Macaca mulatta: one gene and its partners. The protein of the gene in region 1 binds, or shares a complex with, the protein of each later gene. Links are inferred from orthologs where the notes say so. Each region holds a gene or a part of one and is shown in the gene's direction. Other genes may lie near its edges.

The links.
Region 2: the proteins of AP1M1 (region 1) and AP1G1 are in contact, whole or in part, in a cryo-EM structure (PDB 7R4H), measured with the Mus musculus proteins. The link is inferred for Macaca mulatta from reciprocal best matches to the Homo sapiens genes AP1M1 and AP1G1. Residues at the interface, in NP_031482.1 of Mus musculus: Ser289, Asn318, Asp319, Ala320, Asp321, Ser322, Trp334, Pro336, Glu337, Asn338, Ser339, Gly361, Leu362, Pro363, Ser364, Val365, Glu366, Ala367, Glu368; in NP_001288140.1 of Mus musculus: Arg24, Glu25, Gln28, Lys29, Ala32, Arg35, Ser36, Arg39, Glu40, His64, Phe65, Gln67, Leu68, Gln97, Val99.
Region 3: the proteins of AP1M1 (region 1) and AP1S1 are in contact, whole or in part, in a crystal structure (PDB 1W63), measured with the Mus musculus proteins. The link is inferred for Macaca mulatta from reciprocal best matches to the Homo sapiens genes AP1M1 and AP1S1. Residues at the interface, in NP_031482.1 of Mus musculus: Lys12, Glu31, Asn186, Asn188, Val189, Leu190, Glu232, Glu234, Asn270, His272, Arg421; in NP_031483.1 of Mus musculus: Lys26, Lys30, Arg33, Glu34, Gln37, Lys43, Glu51, Trp52, Arg53, Asp54.

The regions. Positions count from the first base shown.
Region 1 is NC_133424.1:16,702,763-16,708,336, forward strand, and holds part of AP1M1 (AP-1 complex subunit mu-1), read left to right. Parts: intron 1-815; coding exon 816-958; intron 959-1,404; coding exon 1,405-1,476; intron 1,477-2,016; coding exon 2,017-2,175; coding exon of another isoform or gene 2,176-2,269; intron 2,270-5,574. UniProt on the Homo sapiens protein: Subunit of clathrin-associated adaptor protein complex 1 that plays a role in protein sorting in the trans-Golgi network (TGN) and endosomes.
Region 2 is NC_133425.1:68,066,307-68,072,600, forward strand, and holds the start of AP1G1 (AP-1 complex subunit gamma-1), read left to right. Parts: upstream 1-2,591; 5' UTR 2,592-2,894; intron 2,895-6,294. UniProt on the Homo sapiens protein: Subunit of clathrin-associated adaptor protein complex 1 that plays a role in protein sorting in the late-Golgi/trans-Golgi network (TGN) and/or endosomes.
Region 3 is NC_133408.1:48,411,877-48,418,212, forward strand, and holds the start of AP1S1 (AP-1 complex subunit sigma-1A), read left to right. Parts: upstream 1-2,633; 5' UTR 2,634-2,672; coding exon 2,673-2,675; intron 2,676-4,730; coding exon 4,731-4,909; intron 4,910-5,498; coding exon 5,499-5,607; intron 5,608-6,336. UniProt on the Homo sapiens protein: Subunit of clathrin-associated adaptor protein complex 1 that plays a role in protein sorting in the late-Golgi/trans-Golgi network (TGN) and/or endosomes.

The DNA.
Region 1 (5,574 bases):
GTGAAATCCTCCAGTCCAGCTGGGAGGCCCCCATCACCTGGCCTCACATGCCAGGTCTTGCACCCTGCCCTGCACTGCCCAGGCCGCTGGAGCTCAGGCTGAGGCCTTGCTCGCTCCCTCCCAGGCCAGGTTCTCCCTTCACCTTGGGCCCTAGGTGTGGGCTGTGTGAAGGCCACACACGGTGATTCTCGCTCCTGCCGCTGGTCTGTAACACTTCCCACGGCAGGGGTCAGAGGGGCTCAGAGGGGCTCAGGGCCTGGGTTTGCAAACTGTGCCTCCCGCCTCTCAGCTGTCACAGGCCACTGGAAGAGGGTGCAGTGGCTAGGCATGCCCCCGTTCCTGGCCCAGTGAGGGCTTCTTGGGCATCAGCCCATGAGGGCAGCTCCCCGCCTGGGGCTGGGCAAGGCCCCACCCACATAGCCCTCAGTGAGGTGGGAAACCGAGGAAGACCCAGGACCCCGTGGATGCCGGGGCCTGAGCCCTTGGGGAGCCCCGAGCCATCCCCCAGCCGAGTCCATCGATCAATCATTCAGTGAACGTGTCCTGAGCAGGTCCTCTGGCTGGGCCCTGGGGTGGTCGCTGGAGACTCAGCATGAACCAGACCCACCAGCCCTGCCCCCCGGGACCCCAGGAGTATGAGGAGTGACGGGGCAGTTGTCTTGGGACCCAGCCCCCTTGGTGTTTGTGGCCCAGGCTGCTGTTACTGCGTGGACTGGGGGCCCTGCTCTGCTGGGGTGGGTCCCAGGGGGTAGGAGTACTGCTGAGAGAGTGACCCGGAGGGCCCAGGTCTGTTCTACCCTCACCCCTGACCCCAGGCGGCAAAAGCAAATCCGTGGAGCTGGAGGATGTGAAGTTCCACCAGTGTGTGCGGCTATCACGCTTCGAGAACGACCGCACCATCTCCTTCATCCCGCCCGACGGCGAGTTCGAGCTCATGTCCTACCGCCTCAACACCCACGTGAGTGCGCCGCCCCGGGGCTGGGCTGTTGGTGGCCGCCTCCTCCCCTTCACCTCCAGGAGGTGAAGCCCAGGCAGGCGCCGGGGCTGGCCCCACCCCATGCTCCATGAGCTGCCTGGCTCCGCAGAGATGGAGTCTGAGGACCTGGGACTCCGAGCTTTCTGAGGGGCACAGACCCCTTTGGCCACCACACCTCTTTCCTAGGCAGCCCCCTAGAGCAGGCCCTGCGCATGTTTTCTGCATTTGCACCGAGGCCTCCCTAGTAGCTCCCTGCTGCCTCGGCCTGTCTGCCCTGACCCTCCCTGACGCTGGCCATGCACTCCCCACAGGGCCCTGGGCCAACAGCTGGGCAGATGGCCCCTTGCCCTGGGCCTTGGTTTCCTCTCTGAAATGGGCCTTTGTCAAACACGGCCACGTGTGAGCACCCTCTCTGCCCTCCTCGGCAGGTCAAGCCTTTGATATGGATCGAGTCGGTGATTGAGAAGCACTCCCACAGCCGCATCGAGTACATGATCAAGGTGCGGGGGCCCGAGGCCACCCACTGAGGGCCTTCTGGTGTCTCTGGCCCGTCCTGGGGGCCTGACCGAGGGCTGGGGGTGCCGTAGGGCTGCCATCCATGCACCCTCGCTGTGGCCTCAGATGCAGGCGTGGCCTGACACTGAGGAGACAACGCCTGGGGCCTGCTCCTAGATGGTGCCACTTGTGGGGAGGGGCCTGTAACTAGGCATCCAGGACACTCCCAGAGGTATTGCCCCCAGTGGAGCACCTCTGCCCCTCAGTGACCCTGTCCAGCGCAGCCTGACCCTGGGACACAGACATTGTCCTAGGAGGGCAGGGCAGAGGGAGGGATGGGGAGCCTTGGAAGCTGAGCAGACAGGAGGACAAAGATGAAACGCCTGAAATTAGGCCTTGGGAGAGTCTCAAGGGTAGGAGTAGTGCCTGGAGAAGTGGGGCTAGGGAGGATTCCCCAGGCCAGGCTGAGGGACATGTGGCCTGGAGGGGCTGGGCTAGCTCACTTTGGCCTCCATAACCCTGGGCCACATCGGCCTGGCCTGCAGGCCAAAAGCCAGTTCAAGCGGCGGTCAACAGCCAACAACGTGGAGATCCACATTCCCGTGCCCAATGATGCCGACTCACCCAAGTTCAAGACGACGGTGGGGAGCGTCAAGTGGGTCCCCGAGAACAGCGAGATCGTGTGGTCCATCAAGTCCTTCCCGGTGAGCACTCCATCCAGACATCCACATGCCCCCTGCAAGGCAGCCTGGGTGCCGCAGGACCCCTGCACCTCGAGATGGGGTGACCGTCGCCACCGTGTCCCCCACACCTGGGACTTCTGAAAGGGTGGACGGAGAGCCAAGGACTGGAGGGAAAGCGGGAGGAGTCAAAGGCTGACTTGGCCCCTGGGCCCCTTTCTGCTTTCCTCTTGTTTGTGAACCAGCCTCTGTCTTCAACCTCAGGGCAGTGCCCTCTCCCTCTCTGTGCTGCCCCCGAGTACTGATGTGAGATGGGGCTCCTGTCCATGCAGGCCCTGGAGGAGCCCCGTCCACTCCGGCAGGTGCAGGCCCTTTCCGTGCAGGCTCAGCCTTGCCTGCCATCAAGGGGCATGGCTGCCTGTAGGCCAGAGCAGCACAGCCTCCCGAGCCCTGCACCAGCCGCCCATGTCCTGGGCCAGCTCTGCACTGGCATGACTTCCCCGGCACCGTGTTAAGGATTCTGAGGGCTTGAGTCTGGGCTTGCTGGGTGTACGCAGTGCACAGAGAGGCTAGGCCCGGGCGTGGCTCTGGAGCCAAGCTGGTTGGCACTGACCTGCTCCGCCAGGCGGGCTCAGGGCAGGCGCTACTTTCCATGTTCTCCCGTCTCTCCGGCTGCAGCCCCAGCTGAGTTAAGCTGGAAATGCTGCAATTCAAGCGCCTTGAATTTCATGATGGCACTTTCCCTCCCGGCCTCAATCTAATCACATGACATAAAATGCAGACAGTAGAGGAAGGAGAGAGAAAAGCCCATTACCCCACCACCTAATACTCCCGGCAGCCTTTCTGCGCGTCTCCTTCTCACCTTTCTTTCTGCGTATTTTGGTCTTCCTCATTATACGTAAGTAGAGCCAACTCGGCGCCTGCCCTTCCACGCGGCGCTGCGGCCGAGCGTTTTCCTTCTGGTGTTCACTGTCTTCTTGGCGGTCGGCTTTGGGAGCTGTGGAATATTCCATGGAGGGGTGGTGACCATCCCTGATTGCTGGATTATCTCTTCTTTTCCTGCAATTCCACTGTTGAAAATAGTGTTTGTCATTTAAAACACAATGGGAGAATACCTCATCAAATAAACAGCATGGTGAGCTGTAGACGGAGGAGGAAGGGACAGGGCTAAAGGCCGAGGCACAGGCCAGCGTGGACCGTGCTTGTGTAGATTTGACTTCGAAGCCATGCACGGGCACACCTCATTTTATTGTGTTTCCCAGATACTGCATTTTTATTTTTGTTTCAGTTTTTAAACAAATGGAAGGTATGTGGCAACCCTATGTTGAGCAAGTCTGTTGGCGCCATTATCCCAACAGCACGTGCTCACTTCGCGTCTCTGTGTTGTCACTCTTTAGCAATAAAGTATGTTTTAACTAAGGTATGTACATTCTCTTAGACATAATACTGTTGCACATTATTCAGACTACATTATACAGTAAGCTTTTTTGTTTTTTGAAGACAGTCTTGCTCTGTCACCCAGGCTGGAGTGCAGTGGCACAATCTCGGCTCACTGCAGCCTCCACTTCCCAGGTTCAAGCGATTCTTCTGCCTCAGCCTCCCGAGCAGCTGGGATTACAGGCATGCACCACCATGCCTGGCTAATTTTTTTTTTTTTTTTTTTTTTTTTGAGACGGAGTCTCTCTGTTGTCCAGGCTGGAGTGCAGTGGCGTGATCTCCACTCACTGCAAGCTCTGCCTCCCGGGTTCACGCCATTCTCCTGCCTCAGCCTCCCGTGTAGCTGGGACTACAGGCGTCTGCCACCACGCCCGGCTAATTTTTGTATTTTTAGTAGAGGCGGGGTTTTACCATGTTAACCAGGATGGTCTTGATCTCCTGACCTTGTGATCCGCCTGTCTCGGCCTCCCAAAGTGCTGGGATTACAGGCGTGAGCCACTGCGCCCGGCCGCCTGGCTAATTTTTGTATTTTTAGTAGACATGGGGTTTCACCATATTGGCCAGGCTGATCACGAACTCCTGACCTTGTGATCCACCTGCCTCAACCTCCCAAAGTGCTGGGATTGCAGGCGTGAGCCCCCGAGCCCGGCCAGTAAACATAACTTTTATATGCACTGGGAAACCAAAAAATGTGTGTGACTTGCCTAACTGTGCTATGTGCTTTATGGCAGTGTCCAAACTGCAATATCTCAAGGTATACCTGTCAGTGCTTTCCAAGCATATAAAACAAAATTAAATCAAAATGGAAAAAAAGGTAATTCCTAAAAATGAAAAGCAAAATTAATTCATCAGCATATCAAGTTGATGACAGCTACAGATACACATTACTTCAAGTAACACACCCTAAAGACAAAAGGAAGTGCAGGAAATAAATTTTAAGAAATACAAAGAGACGGCCGGGCGCGGTGGCTCACGCCTGTAATCCCTGCACTTTGGGAGGCCGAGGCAGGCGGATCACGAGGTCAGTAGATCGAGACCATCCTGGCTAACACGGTGAAACCCCGTCTCTACTAAAATACAAAAAATTAGCCGGGCGCGGTGGCGGGCGCCTGTAGTCCCAGCTACTCAGGAGGCTGAGGCAGGAGAATGGCGCGAACCCGGGAGGCGGAGCTTGCAGTGAGCCGAGATGGTGCCACTGCACTCCAGCCTGGGTGACAGAGTGAAGACTCCGCCTCAAAAAAAAAAAAAAAATACAGAGAGGTAGATGATTGATAGATTAGATAAATAGGTACCCTTCCCTCTTTCTTAGATTGCTGCATACTAAAAGGTTTTTTTTTGTTTGTTTTTTCTTTTTCTGAGAAGAAGTCTCGCTCTGTTGCCCAAGCTGGAGTGCAGAGGCACGATCTCGGCTTACTGCAACCTCCACCTCCCAGGTTCAAGCGATTCTCCTGCCTCAGCCTCCCAAGTATACAGGCACACGCCACCACACCCGGCTAATGTGTGTATTTTTAGTAGAAGCAGGGTTTCACTGCGTTGCTCAGGCTGGTCTCAAACTCCTGACCTCAGGTGATCTGCCTGCTTTGGCCTCCCAAAGTGCAGGGATGACAGGCGTGAGCCACCACGCCCGGCCTATTGTGAATAATGCCGCTGTGAACGTGGGTGCACACACATCTCTTCAAGACCCATTTTCATTTGTTTTGGGTGTATCCCCAGAAGTGGAATTGCTGGATCATGAGGTAATTCTATTTTCAATTTTTTGTGGAAGTGCCAGAGTGTAGGCTGTTTGCTTTTAAACGCAGTGTTTCTCTGTCCTGTCCCTACTGCCGTTTGTTACCAGGGTAGAGAATTTGATGTGTGCCCATGGGTGGCCATGGCACCATGACACTGTCCACCTGGACGGAGAGCTGGGCCGGGCCTTGCGTCCGGGCCTTCTCCTGGCTCTCTCTGCATCTCCCATAGCACCCGCTTCATAGAAGTTGCTGCCAC
Region 2 (6,294 bases), on another chromosome or scaffold:
GAATTCCGTAAACATTCTGTTCTTTAAACCACTCGTTGGTGGCTGACTCCACCCTGAGAGTGTAGGTGTGTGTGTAGGTGGGTGGGTAGGTAGGGGTGGTGGAAGTTGGTGGTACCCTATGCTAATTTATAAAATGGCACTCTGACCTGGCGCGGTGGCTCATGCCTGCAATCCCAGCACTTTGGGAGGCCGAGGTGGGCGAATCACCCGAGGTCAGGAGTTCGAGACCAGCCTGGCTAACATGGTGAAACCTCATTTCTACTAAAAATACAAAAAATTATCTGGGCATGGTGGCGCATACCTGTGTAGTCCCAGCTACTTGGAAGGCTGAGGCAGGACAATCGCTTGAACCCAGGAGGCGGAGGCTACAGTGAGCCGAGATCACATCATTACACTCCAGCTTGGGCAACAAGAGGAAACTCTGTCTCAAAAAAAAAAAAAAAAAAAAAAAAAAAAAGGCCGGGCACGGTGCCTCACGCCTGTAATCCCAGCACTTTGGGAGGCCGAGGTGGGTGGATCATGAGGTCAGGAGATCGAGACCACCTTGGCTAACACGGTGAAACCCCATCTCTACTAAAAATACAAAAAATAGTCGGGCACGGTAGCGGGGACCTGTAGTCCCAGCTATTCGGGAGGCTCAGGCAGGAAAATGGCGGGAACCCGGGAGGCGGAGCTTGTAGCGAGCCAAGATCCGGCCACTGCACTCCAGCCTGGGCGACAGAGTGAGACTCCGCCTCAAAAAAAAAAAAAAAAAAAAAAAAAAAGGCACTCTTTAACAGAACCCCAGTGGAAGAGGGGAGAGGATGTGTCTTTTAGCCAAGTCAGTTTCTTGGAGCCTGTTTCTCCTTATTTGTAAAGCTAAGTTACTTATGTTTGACTAGCCTGACTCAGGAGGTTGTCCAGAGGATCAGATTAGATTACACACATGAAAGTGCCTCATGAACAATGTGATATCAATATTTAATAATAAAAATGATAATTATTATCGCACCCATGGCCTCATTTCTTTCCAGCCACTTGGCATGCCCCCGTAGTTCAGGGACAAAATTGTACAGATGGGCCTGCTTGGTTCAACTTTTTTCGTGTGTTTTTGAGACAGGGTCTCACTCTGTCGCCCAGGCTTGGCTAACTGCAACCCCTGCCTCCGGGGTTCAAGCGACTCTCCTGCCTCAGCCTTCCAAGTAGCTGGGTTTACAAGTGCCCACCACCATGCCTGGCTAATTTTGTATTTTTAGTAGAGATGGAGTTTCACCATGTTGGCCAGGCTGGTCTCGACCTTCCGACCTTGGGAGATCCGCCCGCCTCAGCCTCCCAAAGTGCTGGGATTACAGGCGCGAGCCATTGCGCCGGCCTACTTAGAGCAATTTTTGTAAAGTATTTTGAATCCGTGCATGAAAATGACTAAGGAAAAAGGTGCAACCTTCTCTCTATGACACCCAGGTCCTAAACTCAAGATTTGTGGTTAGTTCTGGGCAGGCTGGTGGCTCACACCTGTCATCTCCACACTTTGGGAGCCCGAGGCAGGCGGATCACCTGAGGTCAGGAGTTCAAGACCAGCCTGGCCAACATAGCGAAACGCTCTCTGTATTAAAAATGCAAATATTAGCCGGCTGCGGTGGTGGGAGCCTGTAATCCCAGCTACTTGGGAGGCTGAAGCACGAGAAATTGCTTGACCCCGGGAGGCAAAGGTTGCAGTGAGCCGGGATGCCGCACCTGCACTCCAGCCTGGGCAACAGAGCGAGACTGTCTAAAAAAAAAAAAAAAAAAAAAAAAAAAAAAAAAAAAAATTGTGCAGTTGGTTCTGTTCTGTTTGGCACCCAGCCTGGTGCTGTGTTGTATTGTACTTTGTTGCCAATCTAGCGGAAGGATTTTGGTCTAGGTAGGTCACCTTTACTTTAAACAGGCCAAGGTATCAGGCCCCCTTTACGTTCACACGGAAAAGACTCGCGTCATATGTTAGTAATTATTTATCAGGTTAGGAACTGTCTGGTTAGACTTTCTTTGGCCCTGGTCATTAATTCATGGAGTCATAGACCGAAAGCCCATTCCGTAAGGGTTTCAGCTAACATGAGTCCAAGTCTTCTTTCTACATACGAGGAAACGGAATCCCTGGAGTTTAAGTGACTTGAGCTGTGCATGAACCGCGGTACTGGGCGTGGAATCCATTCTTGTGAGTCATCCTCTTAACTCTTCGTAAAATATGTTGCAAAGACACCATAAAACCATAGAATACCACCTGGAGCATGCTCCTTCAGTTAAAAAGAAAGCAAAAATCTTACAGGAGACAGCAAAGAGTTTGGGATGCCCGTGGATGAACACCATTTCATCTCTGCTATCTTCTCCGCCCCCACCTGCCTCGCCTGCTCCCACTTCCTGGACTACCTGACCTAGCTCCGCCTCCTCCAGGTGGCCCCACCGCTTCCTGGTAGCCCAGCCCCTCCCCCGCCTCCCGCCAAGCGGAACCAATGTCTGTCCGCTCTGGGGTCGGCCGGATCTTTCTCGCTCAGACTCTTCGCAGCGGTGACTCGGCAGCAGCGTCTCGCGTCATCAGTGACAGCCCTGACCCTTGCTACGCTTTGCGTCGCTCTGCCAGAAGCAGTCGCCTCCTCCTTGGCAAATAGTCCTCGGCAGGGTCCGAGTTCTTGGTTAATCCGAGAGGAGAGGCACGAGAAGTTGCAGTGCAGGGACACGGAAGCGACTAGACGAGGAGGCCAGGGATCGAAGTTTCCTCAATAGTGTGTGAAGTTAGTTAAAAACTCTCTTCTTCCTTAGGATCCCTCCGCCTGCAGTAGCAGTGGTGAGGCCGAGGGAGCCGCCATTTTGGATGTTCGGTTCCTGCTGCCACTGCTGCCGCCGCCCCCGGAGCTGCTGGTTTCATTCGAGGTTTCGGGCCGGTGAGTGTCACTGGCGGCACTTAGAGCATATTGCTGCTTTTGCCCCGCCGCTGGCGCGGGCGCTCGACCGGAAGCTTCCTTTCAGTTTCAGGGGTCCGGTCCCAGGCTGTGGGTGTTGAGAAGAGAGGACAGAGAGGCTGGGCCAGGAGGGGCCGGGAGCCCCAGGGGCTGCTCCGACTTCTGGAGGGCCGACCCCGAGGCCTCGGACCGGGAGGTTCCGCGCGCAGCGGTGTTCCGGGTAGTGGCGTTGCCCCGCGGGTACGGGCCTCCTTGAACCTTTGACTTTCTCAGGCTGCGATCTTTGAGGGCTCATTCAGGGAGCCTGGGGTTTAGCGCGGCTGGCCCCACCCCCGCGTGTCTTCTCTGAGCCACGTACCAGCGTTCTTGTGTCTTGTACCCGTGTCAGGTCTCTCAGATAACTCTCAGCATTTCCAAATGCCCAGTTAATCGCTGCCTGCCCCTGCAGTGCCGTCCTGTCGGAACCAGACATCGGCCTCGCCTCTCTCTAACCTTCCAACCAACTTCTTTCCCAATTTTCCGCGCGCGCGTGTGTGTGTGTGTGTTTGTTGTTGTTTTGTTTTTTTCAGCCTACCTGCGAGTGTACTGTTTACCCTTTTCTCAGCTCCTGGGCCTGCGGACGTCAGCGTCTAATAATTCTCCCGGGCTTCCTGATTGCCTGAAAGAGTCGGGACGATTCAGTTGATTGTTTCCCGGTTAGGAGACTTGGTGTAGGAGATCCATCGAAACACTCGCTCAGAGTGTGCTTCAGCAGTAATGTTTATGAGGCAGATTAAATGGCTTTTGGGAGGCGGGAGCTGTCAAATGTTTTCTCATTTGTGGATTCCCTTCCTGTGCTGAACACTTAGCTTTTTGGTACTCACTGACACTTGTGTGGTGTTTTTTTTTTTTTTTATCCTCCCCTATTACATATCCCTGAGCATGGAAATCTGTCCATGGAGAAAAATATTAATCTGAGGTAGGTAGAAAGGAGAGTTGGGCTGCTTTATTCGTTAACCGAGGAGAGGAGTTAGTGCTTTCTTAGTGACCTTAACTTTGAGGTGTTTGTACAGTAATGATCTTTGCTGACTGATTGTAAAAAATACTTGTAATGACTTCATGTATTGGGTTTTTCTGGGGATAGTTGAATTTTAAATATTCACTTCCACCCTTCCCTAGAATACTTGTCAAATACCTAAGTTGTCATACAGCCTAACTTTCAAGTTTGAAAAATATGAACCCTCTAAGTACTAGTAATCTAGTCACTTTTATTCTAAAAGCATGTTTGCAGTCTAGCATGCTTGAATGAAAAGTATTTCTTTGTTTTAATTTTTATTATTATTATTATTTTTTGAGACGGAGTCTGGCTCTGTCTCCAGGCTGGAGTGCAGTGGCACGGTCTCGGCTCACTGCAACCTTCGACTCACTGCAACCTACGCCTCCTGGATTCAAGCAATTCTCCTGCCTCAACCTCCCAAGTAGCTGGGACTACAGGTGCACGCTGCCACGCCCGGCTAATTTTTTTTTGTTGTTGTATTTTAGTAGAGATGGGTTTCACCATGTTGCCCAGGCTGATCTCGAACTCCTGAGCTCAGGCAATCCGCCCACCTTGGCTTCCCAAAGTGCTAGGATTACAGGCGTGAGCCACGGTGCCTGGCGAATAAAAAGTATTTCACAGTAATTCACTGATACATTTCCTACGTTTCAAGTTAGGCGAGTGTGATTGAATCACCCTTATTTCATCTCAGCCTGGGTTTTTACATCTGCAAAAGAGAAGTTAACTTATTTGAGATCACAGTCTAGTGGATGAAATTTAAATTTATAACTTGAACTGAGTCAAGCTTTTTAATACTGCTAAGCCACATATATAGATGCATTATTCTTATCAGGTTATTGAAATGAGATTGTAGATAAATTCCTGTATAGGTCATATGATGTCTCAGGAGAAAACAGTATTTTCAGTGTAAATACTCAGTGATCTTGTTGCTTGTTTTAAGGAGATTTTTCAAAAACATGTTAGTTACTATTAGATATGTGAGTTCTGTATCACCCTGAAGCTATGTAATTTTCTCTTTTGGTTTAAAGGAACTGTCAAACACTGAACACCTATGTAATGATCGCTCATTTACTAAGTATGCCCTTGCAGTTACTACTGAAATGTGCCATTTCTGACTTAGACTTTTCAAGTAAGGTGTTAGCAGAGCTATCACATAGATGTTAGTTAACTCAGTGTTTTTCATGCTTTAATATGTTGGTATTTAAATGTCATTCAGGCGGGTGCTCTGTGGCTCATGTTTGTAATCCCAACACTTTGGGAAGTGGAAGGTGGATCCCTTGAGCCCAGGAGTTAGAGGCCAGCCTGGGCAACATAGTGAGACTCTGTCTCTACCAAAATATTTTAAAATATTAAACTTTTAAAAATTCATTCTTAGATAGTTTGCATTCACTGGGGGAAGGGTCCTTTTGCCTTAACAAATTCCTAGCAAAGTGTTGTTTAGTGCACCATTGATCAGTGCATATTTGAATATCTGCTTTGTGTTTAGGAAACCTCCGTTTCTTTTGGGAGCAGTTGCTTATTCTTTGGTCTGACCTCTGTCATTGTTAGCAGTTCTAGATTTGAGGGCAGATTTTAGAGTGAAACTATAAAGTACAGAAATTGCCAGGAATGCCTTGGTGATATTTCACCCCAGTGTTTATTTTAAAAAGGAGTTTTAAAAATCAGTGGTATGCAAACCAAAACCAACTTCTTTATGATTTATAAAAACTCTTATTTCTTATTATTTTTATTGTTTGAACAGGGTCTCACTCTGTTGCCCAGGCTGGAGTGCAGTGGTCTCTGCTCACTGCAGCCTGGACCTCCTGGGCTCAAGCAATCCTCCTGCCTCAGCTCTCCACATAGCTGGGACTACAGGCGTGTTCCACCACGCAGGGCTAATTTTTGTATTTTTTGTATTGATAGTATTTTGTCATGTTGCGCAGGCTGGGCTCAAGCAATCCTCTTGCCTTGGCCTCCCAAACAAAGTGCTGGGATTACAGGTGTGAGCCACCTCACCTGGCCAAAACTCTTTAATTTATACAAATTTAAAAAATTGAATGAGTATTTTCCAAGAGATTATTTTTAATTTAAAAAGTTGAATTGGCAACCTACATACCAAAACACATTTTCCACAATGCTTAATCCCCTTATTTGCATTTGACGAGGATTTTAAAATTTTGTGTATATAGCAGGACTTAATTGCTATCAAAACTTTAAAACTCTTACTTAGAGCTTCAGAAAATTAAAAAATACTATTTTAAGTGCTTGTAATTTAGTCTATCCTTGCTTCATGAATTGTTTTCAGTTCTTGTTGTTTTGTTTTGTTTTTTGAGACAAAGTCTTGCTCTGTCTCCCAGCCTGGAGTAC
Region 3 (6,336 bases), on another chromosome or scaffold:
AAGCAGGGGCCTCAGAGAGCCAGTCTAAAACCATTTTAAGTTCAGCTCCATCTTGAAACTAACAAGGCACATTCCTTGTCAGTCACAACCCATACCTGTTTACAGTTGGGTAAACAGTTTAAAGATACCTGCAAGGACAGACTCCTCCAACTACAGAAAATCCAGATGTCCCAATACCCATAACAATATATGCTTTTAAGATAATTATAGTTCTGGCTGGGGATGGAGGCTAAGGCAGGAGGATTGCTTGAGGCCAGGAGTTCGAGACCAGCCTGGCCAACATAGCAAAACCCCCTCTCTACTAAAAATACAAAAATTAGCTGGACATGGTAGCACATGCCTATAATCCCAGTAGTGAGACCCCATCTCTACAACAAAATATTTTTGTAATTAACTGGATGCACTGGTTCATGCCTGCAGTCACAGCTACTTGGGAGGCTGAAATGGAAGGATGTAACTGTAATCCAGCTACTAGGGAGGCTGAGACACAAGAATGGCTTGAACCCAGGAGGTGGAGGTTGCAGCGAGCTGAGATCACACCACTGCACTCCAGCCTGCGCGACAGATCAAGACTCTGTCTCAAAAAAAAAAAAAAAAAAGGAAGAAAGATAATTATAGTTTTGCTTTGATGTACTTACCTACTAGAATGTCAAGGATAGTTAAATCAACAGAATAATAAATTTTGTCATGCCATTGGCCCATCTGCACATTGACTCAGCTTAGTTTAGTCTGTACAAAAACAAGACCCCTATATAAGAAAAACTTGGCGGGCCGCGGTGGCTCACGCCTATAATCCCAGTACTTTGGGAGGCCGAGGTGGGCGGATCACGAGGTCAGGAGACTGAGACCATCCTGGCTAACAGGGTGAAACCCCGTCTCTACTAAAAATACAAAGAAATTAGCCAGGTGTGGTGGCGGGCACCTGTAGTCCCAGCTACTCAGGAGGCTGAGGCAGGAGAATGGCTAAACCCGGGAGGCGGAGCTTGCAGTGAGCTGAGATCGCGCCACTGCACTCCAGCCTGGGCGACAGAGCAAGACTCTGTTTCAAAAAAAAGAAAAACTTAAAGGTCAGGGGCGGTGGCTCATGCCCATAATTCCAACACTTTGGGAAGCCGAGGAGGTTGGATAGCCTGAGCCCAGGAGTTCCAGACCAGCTTGGGTAGCATGACAAAACCCTGTCTCTACAAAACATACAAAAATTAGCTGGGTGTTGGGGGGGCACGCCTGTAGTCCCAGCTACTTGGGAGACTGAGGTGGGAGGATCGCTGGAGCCCAGGAGGTGGAAGCTGTAGTGAACTATAATCATGCTACTACACTCCAGACTGGGCAACAGAGTAAGACCCTGTCTCAAAAAAAGAAAAAAGAAAAAAGAAAGAAAAGGAAAAATTAAGACAGTGTGTTCCTCTGTTTGCTTTCTGAGGACGCCCTACTCCGTAAGGGGACAGCTTTCAATAAACTCTCTCTTCTCATAGCACTCTGCGGCTTGCTTTGAATTTCTTCTGCATGAGATACAAGAATCCTCTCTTGGGGTCTGGATCAGGACCCCTTTTTCCAGTAACACGTAGACACACACACACATTCAGTTTAAAAGCCCATATTACAATGTACATCCACCTCATCTTCACACTGAGATTTGGGTTACATCTGTCCCTTTTTGAGTTTTGACCCAAGTTAACCTTTTAAGACGCTCTTTATTTCTTCCCCTTTTGCCTCAATTCACTTTCCTCCTCCTTCTCCTTACATGCCTTTTATAGCAGCCTCTCCTTTTCTCTTTTATTCATTTTCTACACATTTCTCTTACTTTAAGATCAGAAGTCAGGCGCGGTGGCTCACACCTGTAATCCCAGCACTTTGAGAAACCAAGGCGGGAGGGTCTCTTGAACCCAGGAGTTCGAGACCAGCTTGGGCAACATAGTAAGACCCCTGTCTCTACAAAAAAAAAATTTAAAAATTAGCTGGGCATGATGGTGTGCGTCTGTAGTCCCAGCTACTCAGGAGGCTGAGGCGGGAGGCTCGCTTGAGGCCAGGAGTTCAAGGCCGCAGAGAATCACGATCTCACCACTGCACTCCAGCCTGGGTGACGCGACCAGACCCTGTCTCTAAAAAGAAAAAAAATAGAGGGGTGTATCTATCACGCTCTCAATAGATATTTAGCTTGAGTTCTATACTTTTTTCATGACCGTTTGTCTCCTGTTTTTCAGGTCCTTCCTCCTCCCCTACACTCAATTCCCACCCTGCTCCCTCTTCACAGCTCACGCCCCTTCCAGGGGTCCTGCCTGCTGCCTCGAACTCCAATGATCGTCCCATTCACCTCTCACCCCTTTTCCCGCCTTTTTGCCCCACAAGGCTTCAAAGCGCGAGGATCTCATTGTCCTCCTCCCCCATCCTCCAACCAGCCCACAGGACAGCCGCGTTACCATGACGACCGGGCTCCTAGAAGCTGCAGTCAAGGACCTGGTTGCCATGGTTTCCGCTTCTCCGCCTCCAGCCCCGCCCGCGCTCCCCGCGGCGTCGGCGCCTGCGCAGTGTGTGGCGTGTCGGGAGTCAGAACCTGGGCGGGACGGGGCGGGGCTTCGGCCGAGAGGGAGGGAAGCCGGAGAAAGGATAAGAAAGGGAGTGGGACTGGCGCCTACGGTGGCCGAAGTGGGACGCGCCGAGCCGGAGGCTGCAGGATGGTAGGCTGTGCGAAGAGGGAGGGGAGGGGGAAGCGAGGGGCGTGGGCTGCACCTGCGGGGGTCCTCGGGGGCCGCCCTCGGGGTGAGCCTCTCTGTCTTCCCTCTGGTCCTCAGAGGCCTCCCTTGCCTCAGCTGGTGGGCGAGCCGGGCTCGGGAGGAAGAGTGGGAGGTGGCATTCGGGAGAGGGGCGGGGAGGGGGTGCATTTGCAGGGCGAGCGTGGGCTGACGAAGGGGCGGCGGGGCAGTCCCGAGCCGGGAGGGGCGCTTGGGTCTTGGCTCCCGGGGGTCCCTCGATCCCCGCCGCAGGGAAGCAGCCTAAAGCAGAGGGTTGTGGGGGTCTCTTTGCAGAGGGAGGGAGTGGGGGGTCACCGAGAACCCCTTCCCGGGCGGCACGGGCGGGAGCGGGGACCCCGGTGGGGAAAGGGGTGTGGGAGGGGAGTTTCCGGGTCGGAAAAGAGAGCGCCCTATTGGGTTCGTGGCGGTGCTTGCCTAGAGGCTGGGCCCAGGTAAGGAAGAGAGGTGGACTCGTGGTTTTGCTCCGAGGGACCCAGGCTTTGGGATCCCGGGCTCCAGGGCTCTCTGCCCCCAATCCCACTCTGTTTCCGGAACCCAGGCCTTCCGTCTTCCTGCTCGCTCCCCACCCCCCTATCTGAGCGCCGCACGAGGCTCCCCGGCGCCCCTCTTTTCCCCTCCACCAAAAAAATCAGTTCTCCTGAATTCTGATTTTTCACCTACTAAGCTATACAGTGCCACACACCCAGGGATTCCAACCCTGGGCATGTCCATGAATAGGAGAGCTGCTGGGGGAAGGAGAAGACTCCAGGATGTGGCCCAGACCCCCTGGAACTGGGAAGCTGGGGTGCACTGGGCAGTGAGGGTTCTGTCTTCCATCCCACTTGACCCAGCTTGCTGTCTGTTCTGCAGACATTCTTCAGGGGAACCCCCTGGGTGGCGGGGCCCTGAGGGAGATTGGTCACCTGGTGTCTGGGGAGGAGTGGGCGCTTAGCAGGAGGCACCCTAAAAGGGAGAAAAGTTAAAGAGAAATGTCAAAGACATCTGGGTACCCGCAGAGAGGAAGGTGGGATTTGGGCATCTCCATACCCTGTGTGGTGTTGGAAATACATACTGCAGAGGAGGATACCCCTGGCACTGGAGGGTGGTGTGTTTGGGATATCATTAAGATCTTATGGTTATGATGGGGTGGAAAATTGAGGTAGCTTCTCCAGGGACAAAATACCAGATTTCAGCACGGTGGTGGATAGAGAGAGGGTGGAAGAGAACAGGCATTTCTTTGGCATTGGTTACTGGTTTCTTGTCGCTCTGCTAGGCATTTTACTTACCTTTAGAAAGCAGAACCAGTAAGCAAGAGGTCAGGGAATCATGGTAATAATAATAGTAACTAACAACCGGGTGCAGTGGCTCACACCTGTAATGCCAGCACTTTGGGAGGCCGAGGTGGACGGATCACCTGAGGTCGGGAGTTCGAGACCAGGGCCTGGCCAACGTGGTGAAACCCCGTCTCTACTAAAAATACAAAAATTAGCTGGGTGTGGTGGCACATGACTGTAATCCCAGCTACTCAGGAGGCTGAGGCAGGAGAATCACTGGAACTCAGAAGGCGGAGATTGCACTGAGCAGTGATCGCACCACTGCACTCCAGCCTGGGTGACAGAGAGAGACGACAGAGAGAGACTTTGTCTCAAAAAAAATAATAATAGCTAACATGTTATACTGCCTGCCTGTGCTAGGGACTTGCATATATTAACTCATTTAGTCTCAACAACTGTGCAAGGCAGGTACGATGTCCATTTTACAGATAAGGAAACTGAGGCCCAGAGACTTACAGTAGTAATTGGCCCAAGGCCCTGCATAACTAGTAGAGCCAGGATTTGAACCCAAATGATGGACTCAGAAGCTCTGACTTCCCCCTGCTGGTGGAAATACCCAGCATTGAGAGCAAGGGGCTGGATGTTGGAAGAAAGTAGAGAAGAATTAGCCGGGATGAGTTTGGGGAATATGTGTTTACCCTTGGTTCTGCCCTCCCATCCCCCGCAGATGCGATTCATGCTGCTATTCAGCCGGCAGGGAAAACTGCGGCTGCAAAAATGGTACCTGGCCACTTCGGACAAGGAACGGAAGAAGATGGTGCGGGAGCTTATGCAGGTTGTCCTGGCTCGCAAGCCCAAGATGTGCAGCTTCCTGGAGTGGAGGGACCTCAAAGTTGTCTATAAGAGGTGACTCCCCACCTACTTTCAGACCTGCCTAGATTCGAGTTGGGCAGTGGGTTAAAATGGCTGAGAAATGGTCATCCTTTAGGTCAGGGAGACCTGGGAGCTGAGGACCTCTGGAGGACAGTGATGAATGTCAGCTTCCTTTTTTTTCCCCCCCAAACTCTTAAATAAGTTCTTGTTTACCACTTGGTTTTGCTCACGCGCAACACCTGCCTCACTCACGTTTCCCTTTGGGCCCTATCTTGCCCCACCGCACATGTCCCTTGCAGTCGGTCCTGCCCTACTTTTCCTAACACACACGCGCACACACCCTTTCCAGTTCCTTCTCTTCGGAGCAGGTAAATTACTTGGCTCAGGTTTTTGCTGAGTCAGACTTAGGAGGTCAGAGGGCAGGAAGGAAAAAGTGTGCATTCTTTGAGTGTTTTAAAGACAGCACAAAGAGGCAAATGAGTTACTCTTTACATGCCCTGGGGCCACCCCACCTGTGGCCAGCCAGGGCACAGACCACCCCCAGGCTGGTGGGAGGTTTGAGCCCAGAATGCCTGGGTCCTGAAGCAAGCTTGTAGCATGTCTCATGCATTCCTCTCCGCAGATATGCCAGCCTCTACTTCTGCTGCGCCATCGAGGGCCAAGACAATGAGCTCATCACACTGGAGCTGATCCACCGATACGTGGAGCTCTTAGACAAATACTTTGGCAGTGTAAGTCTCCTCTGCCCACCAGTTTCCATTCCCAGCAATCCCCTTTGGTAATCTACCAAACTTTGAGGCACCTCCAGTCTCTGCTCTGGAAGTCTCAGGGGAGAGGTGAAGTTGGAGCAGTAAGAACAGTAATTAATTTCCCTTTTTAAGCTTTAAGCCTATTAACCATGTCCCATAATCGTCCCTGAGTGGGGAGAGTGGGGGCAGGATCAGGCAGTTAATCTCCACTTAGAGCTTAGCTCGGACTTTTCACACAGAGACCAAGTTCAGATTTTTTGTTTAGTTTAAATTTTTATTTTTTTAGAAACAGAGCCTCACCCCGTCACCTGGAGGAATGCCTCCTATGGCTGGAGTGCAGTGGCACAATCATAGCTCACTGCAGCCTTAACCTCTGGGCTCAAGCCATCCTCCTGCCTCAGTACCCTGAGGAGCTGGGACTGCAAGTGCACACCACTACGCCCAGCTAATTTTTGTATTTTTTTTTTTTTTAGAGATGGGGTCTCGCTATGTTGCCCAGGCTGGTCTCTGGGGCTCAAGTGATCCTCCCACCTCAGCCTCCCGAAGTCTGGGATTACAGGCGTGAGCCACTGTACCTGGCCCCATATTCAGATTTTTATCACTGGTTCCTGATCTTGGATTTGCATTGGAATTTTCTGGAGAATTTTTTTGAATAGCAATGTCCACGTTCTACTATCAGAGATTCTGAATTAACTTATCTGAGGGATAGCT